Linked DNA regions of Solanum lycopersicum. The protein of the gene in region 1 interacts with the protein of each later gene in a pairwise test. Links are inferred from orthologs where the notes say so. Each region holds a gene or a part of one and is shown on either strand. Other genes may lie near its edges.

Region 1 (3,199 bases):
GTGCTAATTAATATAATCTGAAATGTTTTTTTCTTGGACAAGGTAAGCATGTTATATATTCAAAAGCCGAATAACTTAGCACTAAGGTAGTGCACATAACTGGAAACTTCTGTACAAAAACAAGTTGAATCAGGGGCTCTCTAACACTGAGGATCTAATTAGTGTAGGCATGAGACAATTTTGGTCTAAGTTTTTTGTTATGTGAATTTTTTTCTATTAATTTATGCCTTTTAAGCTTCCTTTGGTTCCATTGGAGTTGCTTATTCCAATGGGAGGAGAAAAAGTTTACCACCAACAAATTCTAGGGCTTAAGACTGAAAATTACCATTTTTTTAAAAAAAAGTTACTTTTGAAGTGTCAAATTGAGGCAGAAATGTCATTCAAGGAGACTAAGTTTAAAATTAGGTAAAAGGCTTTAATCAAGGCATAACAGAAGTTTAAAGCCTTCTGCATACAACTTTACTTGTAGTACAGGTAAGACACATCGTTGACACACATCATCGACATTGTTGTGTCTTATGGTTGGATCTTCTATAGGTAGTTGTGATAGACATAATTGAACCACTTGATTGAAGTTCTTCTTTTCATCTCATTTTTCATTCATTTACTGGCACTTTATGTAGGTTTTTGAGAATTTGGTCCTTTGGAAGTACCTGGGCCTGTAATTAAAGTAATTTTATTGGGAGATAGATAGGGGGGTAGTGTAGAACAATTTGATTGAGGATGCCCTGTTGACATTCCTCATTAGATATCAAATGTGGTTAGATCTTTTTTGTTCCAGATACAGATGATCCCTAGACATGTATTTTTGAAGTTAGAACTGTTCGAGCAACTTGGCTTAGTATATTTTCAAGGAGTCACCCTACAGAATCGTAGTCTAGTTATCAATCCACATGTTTTTTTTTTCTTTCATGCAAACTAGATGAATGGGGTAGAATGAAATAGCATTTAATAAATCTGCTGACTCCGGTTACTTCTGTATTCTTACTAGTTTGGTAGGTATAAGGGTATTATTTTTGAAGTAAACGTGATAGGCTTCATAGTTGAGTTACACCGACCGACTTGCTTTATTGTACTTATTAATATGTTTCCGCTTAGATGCTAAACACGTGAAAGAGTTTTAAACTGCAAAAAGGGATGATGAGTAGAATTTCTTAGAGTGAGGTTTGACTGTTGCAGGTAAGAGCTGAAAATTCTACAGGTCATATATCTTCAGATCTGGAAGCCAAGCAAGTTCTGTCTACATCTTCAAAGAATGCGAGATCATCCTCTCCTTATAGAGTGGGGCCTCCGAGGTCATTGTCACCCACCCTCAACGAGTTTGCCTTGGATAATCCTGCCATAGGACTCAGAGAAAGGGCCTCACCGTCTCATACTGCACTTGACTATGGGTTTAGCAGAGTAAGAGGTAGAGATGTTGAGAGGAGTGAGTGGCAGAGAATTTTGCCTGATGGGGCCAATCAGCAACCAGACGTTCCTCCTAAATATCGCATAAACAAGGGAATTGATCTTCAAGGACCTAGAGCTTTGATTGATGCTTATGGAATTGATGAAAGGGAAAAAGTAGCCCATCTGAGGCAGCAAAAGACTGGGAATGCCACTATTAATGGCTTAGGCAATGGGTTAGCAGTTAAGACATGGCAAAATACCGAAGAGGAAGAGTTTAACTGGGAAGATATGAGTCCAACTTTAGCAGATCAGAGCCCGTTTAATGATTTGTCAGCATCTCTTCGCCATCCTCAGAGTATCAGGATGAGACCTTGTGTTGATTCACAACATGCTGGGCCATTGGTGGCTGATCCTAGAAGGAACTGGGCTAATCGAGGGCAATATTCTTTAGTTCATGATTCTTCCGTGGATGATGTTCACTCGGTTAGTATTGATGTACTATCGCATGCAATTATTTTCCTTTAGTATTTTGCTGACTAATGTTATGCAACTTAGTTTTTTGCTTATTAATGGTATTCAAACTTTTTTATGTCTCTGATATCTCTAACTTGTTTGGAGCAATAACAATTAGCCTTAGCAGCATATGTTGTAATCTTATCTTCAGCTGATTGTTCAGATTGGAATTCTATATCTGCTTCCCATTGGCTAAAACAAACGTAATTGGAGCCAGTGACTTTATTTGGTTGTATTTGTTATTATCTGAGTTATTTGACGGATGTGGACCAAACTCGTACTTTTATTTGGCGATCAAGATAGCATCATAATGCACCATGAGTTAATTCATTTGCTCTTTGTCTTGTATAAGGAGGCATCTTTTTTTTTTATTTTATCACTTGAGAGATATTTTTTTTCATATTGAAATTATGTCAGTTCTTTTGGCAGTCTGGTCGAGGGGCGAGAAATAAAATTACTGGATATTGCGATGAGACATCTCTGATTTCAGGTTCACATTATCTTCAAAAGCTTCCAGAAAATGTGCCACAGTTGCCTCTAAGACATTTAAAGGGTGAAGGAAGTGGAATCTCATCAGTGACCGGTGAATCAAAGCACCCTTTGATTGGCAATTTGGCTGCTGATGGACATACTTGGAGGCCACCATATGTTCCGCCAAGAATGAATCCTACTTTTGACTCTTCAGTTCAGGATGTTCGGGTGGTTACTGGACGGGGCCCTGGTGTACCATGGCCTCCCCAAAATGTGCATACTCCCCATTCTTTGACTTCAAAACCTGTTGTTCTGCCTCATAATCACGTCAGAAGTCCTTATGAAGTAAATAATGCAAGCAATTCAGTTGTCAATCATACTTTGGACAGGCCAGTTCTTCCTGAGCAACATATTGATAATTTGAAGAGCAGCTCACATATCAAGTTTCCACAATTTCCTAGTCAACACCCCACATCATTTTCTACAAGTCATCAAAATTCTGAACAAATGGCTTCAGCAGAACCTCAGCTATTGCTTTCTCAGCGTATTCATCAGACTATGCCTCCAAGTGCCTCACTTCCAGCCTCAAACCATTTGCTACCACCAACTTATAGATACCCTCTACCGGGTCCTGGTTCTTCTATAGGTCCTCACTTCCCCCGTCCAGTTTCAGGTCCACAAGTGTCTATGCCATTGGTTAATGTCCCAAATACGTCATCACAGTTTTCCTCAGGAGCTTTACCACCTTTTCCCAGAGGCCCACTTCCTATGCCATCTAAATTCATGCCAGCATCCCAAAATCCAGGTCAGGTTACTCCTAACCCTC
Region 2 (4,441 bases), on another chromosome or scaffold:
TTTTTTCTTTATGTCATTCAACTTCCTATTGAATTCGCGAAGAGAAAGCAGTTGAAGAGGTGCTTTAACTTCCCTTTTTCACATTAGTATTTATGTAATTCATTCACTTCTGTAATTGTATATAGATAGATAGAAACTTTGAATAAATCTTTGATGTGCAAAATGTAAGGATGTTTTGATATTTGATGGTGTGCATTGTTACATTTCTTGAGTAGCACTTCCTTTGCACAAGACTCCTTCCTTTCATTACCTATAATGAATTATTGGCTACGACGGTAAACACTCCTCACTTTCAACCATCAGGTTGTGACTTCGAGTCATTAGAGGAGCAAAAAAGTGGGCCTTTTTAGAGAGGAGGTAAAAAAATATGTAAACAAAAAACGTTTAGCCTATATTAGGTACTATAGTTACATCTTAAGAAAGTTGTAATTCGTGGTTATAGTTTTCTCAATTCTTGCTATTCGTTTGATTTATATATAACTAGTCTTGTTTGTATATATCCAGAATGTCGTATATGCTTGCTCTAACTATTTGTAAACGATATATGAAAAATTCATAATAAATTACTCTATTTGTGTATTGACAACCAAAATATTACAAACAGAATTGTGAAAAAAAACCATAAATGTATAACTATAGAATTTGTATATATTTACCCTATTTGTATTTTCACAAGCGAATTACACAAATGGATACAACAAACCGCAGTCTCCATAGCAAACAAAACTATAGACATTACAACTATAGAGCTTTATTATATCTATTCTGTTTGTTATTTCTAAAATTTTCTCTAAAATTGTATTAACAAATTATACCATATTGGAATCTTGATTTTGTGAAACTATTTTTAGCTAATTTTTATTTTGTAGTTTAGCTAAAACTATTTTTTTTCATTTAAGTGTCTAATTTTTAATAGTTTTGAATAAAGAAAATAACTCTTTCAATTATTTTTTTAATTGTTTTTAGATCTCCTATATATAAAAACAAAAATATTTGATGACAAGAGCATAAGATAAGCAAACTTGTGAAAGACTACCAATTAACCCACTAAAAACTATGAAAAAATTGCCAAATGTAACTTGATTATGCCTCATAATTACACCTTTTAAATAATTACAAAATATAACTATATTTTACATTTTATAGTTGATACACGTGTCCTTATAGTCGTCTTTAATAGAGAGTATTTTACCTTCTAATGTAAAACTTTTTTATGCGAATTCAAATTTAATTGAATTTCAATATGGATATCATCGAGTGGAAAACTAAAAAAATATATGCATATATAGACACTATCAATTTATATACAATATTTCAATTTATATGTCGCATAATGTATACATTTTTAAAAGAAAAATATAATAATATTTTGAAGTAACACAATGTCACTATTATTTTTTCCTCAAATAAATAACATTAATCTTGCTATTTATGAACTTTTTTAAATATTTACTATCAAATATAAATAAACTTGATAATTTTGATACATAAATAATTCCTTCTCGTAAGACCGCCATGATGGGAGTTATTTATAATTTCTTCGTAAAAATTTATATTTTCATATCGTAACATTTTATAAATTATAATTTTTTTTAAATATTTTAATAATTTTTCAATTCAATTTATTGATCAATTCGATTTTTCGAGCCGTCCATATACCCAAGAAGAGACCTGTTGGATTCCGGCCCGCCAATTTAAACAACCCACTGAACTCAACTCAACTGGAACTGAAACGACACAGTATTTTCGTCTTCTCCGGCGAACTTGCTCTTCTCCGGCGAAGTCTCCTCATAGGTATACCTCTATCCTTATACTCCAATTTCTCCTCTAAACAGAAAAACCCTAATTTTTTTTTTGTTATTCCTTGCCCTAATGATAGATTTTGGGTTTTAAAAAAACTGCATATTTGGATTGTATTGCAATGTTTTTGTAATTTTTTTATTTGATTGTGTTTGAATGTGTATAAAGTTTGTAACTTGGATACCCAAGGGTGTGGTCTAGTGTCAATTGGAAGTAGGTTGAGAATTGTGAGGTTTTGGGTTCAAATCCTAGTAGAGACGAGAAATTGTAGGTTTCAAGTTTTGGTGAGCAAAGTTATCGTGTACATGTGCTGGTGGTGTATGAAGTGTGTAACTTGGGCACCCCAAGGTTGTGGCAAGTGCTAATGAAGTAGGTTGATAATCATGAGGTGTTAGGTTTACATCCCCATTTAGACAGGAATTATTTCTTTCTATCTGTTCAAATTTTGATGGATAAAGTTATCGCGTACATCTGTTGGTGGTGTATGAAGTGTGTAACTTGGGCGCACCCAAGGTTCAATGTTGTCGCTAGTGTTAATAAAGTAGGTTGAGAATCATGAGGTGTCAGGTCCCCGTACGAACAAGAATTATTTATTTCTATATGTTCAAATTTGGTGGACACTTACATGTGTTGGTGGGAGGTAGTAGGTACCCTGGCCCGTCGGACACAACGGTTGTATAAAAAAGGGGAAGTGTGTAACTTGGTGTTCATTTGGTCATTAGACTGATTATGCAATGAGTTGTTTCAATATTTTTATAAGCAAGTTCTTGCACAAGTCTTTCAAATTTCATTGTTTTTCTTGTGGTTATTTAGAAAAGTTACTTATAGTTATCCTTTATGTACTTTTATCCCCTCTAATCCAATATTTTGTCTAACTGGGATTACGAAGAAGAGAAAAAGTCTCCTGCAACTTGAAGCAATAGTTCCAAATTCGTACATCTTTCATTTGGAGCGATCAGAACAATAATTTCAATGGTTAAGCAATGCATGCCCAATTGATTCGAAAATCAAGAACTGATACACCATTTTAAAATAACTAATAAAAATATGTATATAAGAGTTCATTAGAGCATGCTGCTGTCTGTTTTTCATGGGTACTGAAATGAGGTCACCCAGTTTAACCACAACATTGTCCATGGACAGTCACTAGTAAAGGAGAACCATACTGAAGGAAAAGAAAGGCGTGGAATTGTTTTCCATTCTTATTATTAGTAGAAAGCATGATCTTTCTTTAACTCTTCTCTTTTAACTAACTGTACCCATAGGCTTGGTGAAAATTTCCAGAATTGGAGCCAACAAGAGAAGCATCTCTGATATGGCTTATGGAGGCACAAATGTCAATCCATTGGCAGCAACAGGTGGTTCAACAACAGTGAGGCAGGTGAAGTTGGAAAAAGAATGTGAGCTCCGAGTTGAAGCCAGCGCTGACTCGCCTCTCCGTCTTCGGCTCCTAACTGGCACGGCTGAGATTTTTGGGACTGAAATCCCTCCTGGAATCTGGCTCAACTTTCCTCCAAGACTTAAATTTGCAGTATGATTCTATATCCATCATCTATCAATGAAATGAATGTGTGCCCTGGAATGATTGCTTTACTGTGAAAATCTTTGCTGGATGAATCTAGTAAATGCCTCAAGTTTCATTAATATATCTTTTGCACGTGAGTATCAATTTAGGTTATGTTTGATAAACAGAACTGCTTACTGACATACAAGGATATGAAAAATTCTTTCTAGATTTACATGGATTATAAAGAGCCTAGCTAGATGGAGTAGTTTCCAGTTTCCACTAGGTGGGAGCTATTCATAATTGCATGGATAACCCCCCCCCCCCCTCTCTCCAAATGCTTTGCTCTAGGTAAGATCGCAACCATCGTGTATGTCACGGGTTTAAACCTGCCTAACACAAGAGCACGGTATATATTTTATTGGATAAGGTAAAGGTTTACTAAATAACTGAGTACCAAAGGTAGAGAGGTGGGCCCATTTCCACAGAGTTTGGAACTGTGCACCATTGGCTCCTTGGAGATTTCTCGGGTATAAAGAGAACTACTATAAAAGGACAGGAGAAGGTACAGAAGGCGTCCTTACTAAGAATATTGGACATGTTCTTCAATACCAGTCAGTTGATTGAAATAGAGATGCTGGACTAGAATAAGCAGTGGGCTTGTGGGGGAGCTTCTTTTGATGTTTAGAACAGAAGAAGGGTTTTGCAGATTGTCCTCTGGAAATTTTAACTTGTCATGAGAATCATTCTGCAATCACATTTGGGTTGAACTCCCGAGTTTATTGAGTAATTCAAGTTGTATTAATGTTAGGCTACACTAAGTTGGTACTGAAATTGTTACTCGGAAACTAGCAAAAAATTACTTAAGGAACTAACAAAGTCAATCGAAGAAGCATTCTTTTCAAATCTGATTTAAATGCCAAAAAGTGCTGCAGCAAACAAATTAGCTTTTGTCTTCTGTATAGGGTTTGCCTTGCCTTCATACACTTTTTGTTTCTTTATCTCCACAAGGTTCAGCAAATATCGGCAGGAATGGGTATACCAAATATTTTTTGAGTCCCTTCTTAGACTTCTCCCTTCCAACTCAGCTCCAGATGGTCCTTTAATAGCCCATGGTACCTTGGATGCTCAAAAAAT
Region 3 (4,230 bases), on another chromosome or scaffold:
ACGATCAAATATCTGTTTTGCAGTAAATTTACTGGCAAGATTTAATTCTTCCCCAACAAAAGGACATGAAATGTTGTTAAGAACATAATCTTTGAAAGACCATAGACATGAGTTTATTCTATATCGAGGAGTCAAAGTCAGAGTTGATTGGTTATGCAGATGCAAAATATTGATCCGCATGAAAGTCGATCTCAAAGAGGTTATTTGTTTACATGTAGAAGCATAATAATATCTTGGCGATCAATGAAACAAATGTTGATAATCACTTCTTCAAATCATGCACAAATAAAAGTCCTCCATTAAGCCAGTCGACAGTGCGTATGATTTAGATCAATGACACACCATGTTCAAAAAATATGTGTTTTCTTTGAAAAATAATATACCAACCAGAATGTACGAAGATTAACAACTGCAAATGAAAGTTTCCACAAGATGATTGTTGCTATAGCAAGTTAAGTGAGCAATTTACTTGCAGTAACGAGGTCACAAATAAAGTGATTTTCAAGAATATATTCGGCTAAGCTCAAAAGCTCATCATATCCATGAAATCAGAAAATGACATATCAGAAATGAGTTCAATCATGCACATCTTCGTGAATGTGATTTAATCACAAAGACATTTTCAATATCTGCGAAGTTGGTATATATGATTGGATGACATATTCATAAGAATTAAGTATTCTTCGCTCAGGGGAGAGTATAATACGTGTTGCATTTTTTTTTATCGAGGTTTTGTACTTTTGTTTCTTCACTGAGATTTTTTCCACAAAATTTTTCCTAGTTAGGTTCTAACGAAGCACATAATCTATGGACATCCAAGGGGAGTGTTATAAATCCATTGTATTGTGTGGATTATTTATTCAAAAATTAAATGTATTCATGTACGAGTTTTCTCAAGGTGATAAGAACCTTAAGTGATAACTATGTATCTACTACTTTTGGTGACTATAAATAGAGATATTACTCACCATTTGCAAATACATTTGAAAAAGAAAAAAAGTTATGTCTTCTAACTACATTTCTTGCCATCTTCTCTTTATATTATATTATTATGAACTTACATTTATAACAATTTTTATTTTAAATCTTATAATATTTGAGTTTCACTTACATATTTCGTGAAATAATATATCATTTTCAAATATAAAGCAAGAGTATAAATTTGACCCAACACTTTGATAATTGAGTAGTTTAGCACATTAAAATTGGAAATTCACAGTTTTGACTTTTGAGGAATTAAAGTGTACAAATCAATTTATTGAAAATATATGGATAAAAATATAATATATTGATATTAGAAGGACTAAACGTACTAATACTAAACTTTTGCTAAAAATTCGATTTCCTCTTCTTCACATTAATACTTAGTGGGTTTTTTCTCTCGTCTCCTCTCCTCTCCTCCCTTTTGCTCCGCCGCCGTATCTCCTCCACCGCCGTAAGCGTTGCCGCTATATTTCTTCCGCCGCCGTAATCTCCGTCGCTGTATTTCACTCAGGTAAAGTTTGTGCTTCGTTTTGATAAAATCAACCTAAACTTGGTACCTTATATTTTGATAAATTGGAATTTTTTATGCAGTGGGTGTGAAGAAAAAGCTTCATTTGATAAGTTTGTGTTTTTTGTGAAACAGGAATATAGTAATTAATGGCGCATAGGTTGCTTAGAGATGCAGAAGCTGATGGATGGGAGCGATCTGATTTTCCGATTATATGTGAGTCTTGTCTCGGGGATAGTCCCTATGTGCGAATGGTAATATTTTGAACTTCTCTTCTTTGAGTTTTCTATTATTTTGTGAATAATTTCATGATTTTGTATTCATTTTTTGTTTTCATTTGTGAATAGAATTAGGGTTTGTTTGTTATGTTTATGGTGTTTTGAACTAGAATTGAGGGCTTAGTGTGTTTATAGAATTTAGGAACTGATATTGTGCTTGATGTCCTTCTAATTGGTTGAGCTTTTTCCATTCAAATTATTTAATTTTGGTTTAAAAAGGTTACACCCTTTTCTTATTTGAATCTTCCCTCTTATGCATAGGAATGTGTTGACGGTATTTATACCAACAAATTAAATGAAACAGCATGCTAGCAGAGAGAATGCAAGCATGAAATTGGACATAATTTGAGATCTTTTGGTCTTTGCTATGTTCTCATTAACTGCTTCAGCAAGGTGGTAAAACGATTAAAGAGAAAAAGCCTCACTTTGGTTAATACATTCTAGTGTTTGAAAAAAAGTTGATGAAGTTGTTCTTATTACCACAGAGAAATTATACTTCAACAGTAGGTGGATAGTGGTATGCCTCCATGTAAATGCTAGACTTGTCCACAAGTCAGATTCTAACTTGTTACGTGCACCCACCATACATCATAAGTACTAACTTGAGGAAGTCATTTGTCTTAAGTTTAAGTGAATATAGTCGGAGGTGGATCCAGGATTTAAACCAAATGGGTTCAATCTTATGCCTCATATCCGAACCATAGCACTTCAACAATTATGGGTGTAAAACTTAGTATTTGCTGAGCTGTTGAAAAATTGAATTTGTTGAGTCGATGTTGCACATTGGCATGTCAGCCTCTGTATATAGCACTCTTACATTGATAACATCCACAAGCTTGTTTCTGTATAGTGGGTTGGCATCTCAGGATATAGGGAAGTAGATAAATTATATGTTTTTCAGCAATCAGGATTTGCATTAATTGGTAAAAACTAAGATAAACAGGGTAACTTTGTTCAGTTAGGAACTAAAAGGTGTAGTTTTGTTTTTCCAAGGAATCAAACTTCAAAGGTTAGAGCGCTATTCTTTTATATCTGATACGCCTCACAGCCCAGCTTCTTGCTGAAGTAATTATAACGTGTGATTGATCTGGCCGCTCATATTTAATGAAGATAACAAGACAAGTATTTTATTTGAGTCATAGGGAAAGAATAAGTTGTCTTTTCTCAATAAAGGAAAAGGCTATTAGCCTATTAGGTTTATTACTCTCTTCTAGTCCTTGTTTGCTGATAATTGGTTAGGTTATACACTTGCTTGCATCACATTCTTATCAAAATAGATTCTATATTCATTTTTGCATGTTGTTAACTGCTGACAACTTCTCTTAATACATAGCTGTATCCTACTTGATTGTTTCTACTCGCCATTCCTATCGTCAAAATGTCAGTTTTCTTCGTATAAGGCATATAGATTGATCTGAGTTTTATGACGTGGTCAAGTTACATTTACTTTTTCATTTGTCAAGTATTGAACCTTTTGATATTGTCATTGTTCCTTTCAGACGAAAGCAGATTATGATAAGGAGTGCAAGATATGCACACGACCCTTCACAGTGTTCCGATGGAGACCTGGTCGGGATGCAAGATACAAAAAATCTGAGATCTGTCAGACCTGCAGCAAGTTGAAGAATGTTTGTCAAGTTTGTCTTTTGGATCTCGAGTATGGTTTGCCAGTTCAGGTCCGAGACACTGCTCTCAGTATCAATTCTAATGATGCAATTCCCAAGAGTGACGTTAATAGAGAATATTTTGCAGAGGAGCATGACCGCAGGGTATGTGAAGTTTCAACTTGAAGTTTATTAATACTTTATTATAACATGTCTTTGTGCTCCACCTGCATATGCACAGTTACATGCATATAAAGGTCATCCCCCACCCCACACAAATTTAGAATAATACTTATCTATTACTGAGGGTATGTGCTTGTTACCTTGAATATTTTTTACTTGCAACTTTCAGAGTGCAAATGTGAATTAGCTTATTTGAAAAGTTGCTAAATCTTTGAGCCGAAACTTTCTTTTAGCCAAAATTGATTGGGCTGTGTTGTTATTGGGTTCCCTCCTTCCTCATCTCAGAGGGAGGAGTACATAAGGAATGAGAATGACATATATATGTAGAACCTTTGATAGAAAGTGAACCTAAAAGATTCGCTTCAGACAAAACTGTGCTGTGATAATCACTTTGTTTTTCTATTTTCTCCTGTTGACCTATGCTTTCTTTCTGAACAGGCAAGAGCAGGGATTGATTATGAATCTTCATATGGAAAAGTCCGTGCGAATGACACTATTTTGAAGCTCCAAAGAACTACTCCATACTACAAGAGAAATCGGGCACATGTTTGCAGTTTCTATATACGTGGTCAATGCACTAGAGGTTTGGAGTGCCCTTATAGGCACGAAATGCCGGAGACTGGGGAGTTGTCACAGCAAAACATTAAGGACCGTTACTATGGGTATGTGCAAC

Evidence for each region.
Region 2: the proteins of polyadenylation and cleavage factor homolog 4 (region 1) and protein CLP1 homolog interact in a two-hybrid assay, tested with the Arabidopsis thaliana proteins (3 studies listed by BioGRID). The link is inferred for Solanum lycopersicum from reciprocal best matches to the Arabidopsis thaliana genes PCFS4 and CLPS3.
Region 3: the proteins of polyadenylation and cleavage factor homolog 4 (region 1) and zinc finger CCCH domain-containing protein 49-like interact in binary tests that used the Arabidopsis thaliana proteins (3 or more experiments, as listed by UniProt). The link is inferred for Solanum lycopersicum from reciprocal best matches to the Arabidopsis thaliana genes PCFS4 and MAC5A.

What each region holds. Positions count from the first base shown.
Region 1 is NC_090811.1:66,838,921-66,842,119, forward strand, and holds part of polyadenylation and cleavage factor homolog 4, read left to right. Parts: intron 1-1,179; coding exon 1,180-1,872; intron 1,873-2,319; coding exon 2,320-3,199.
Region 2 is NC_090800.1:3,701,122-3,705,562, reverse strand, and holds the start of protein CLP1 homolog, read left to right. Parts: upstream 1-1,489; 5' UTR 1,490-1,794; intron 1,795-3,065; 5' UTR 3,066-3,115; coding exon 3,116-3,331; intron 3,332-4,441. UniProt on the Arabidopsis thaliana protein: Required for endonucleolytic cleavage during polyadenylation-dependent pre-mRNA 3'-end formation. Functions in gametophyte, embryo and postembryotic development.
Region 3 is NC_090803.1:8,435,580-8,439,809, forward strand, and holds the start of zinc finger CCCH domain-containing protein 49-like, read left to right. Parts: upstream 1-1,300; 5' UTR 1,301-1,495; intron 1,496-1,627; 5' UTR 1,628-1,641; coding exon 1,642-1,746; intron 1,747-3,269; coding exon 3,270-3,539; intron 3,540-3,995; coding exon 3,996-4,219; intron 4,220-4,230.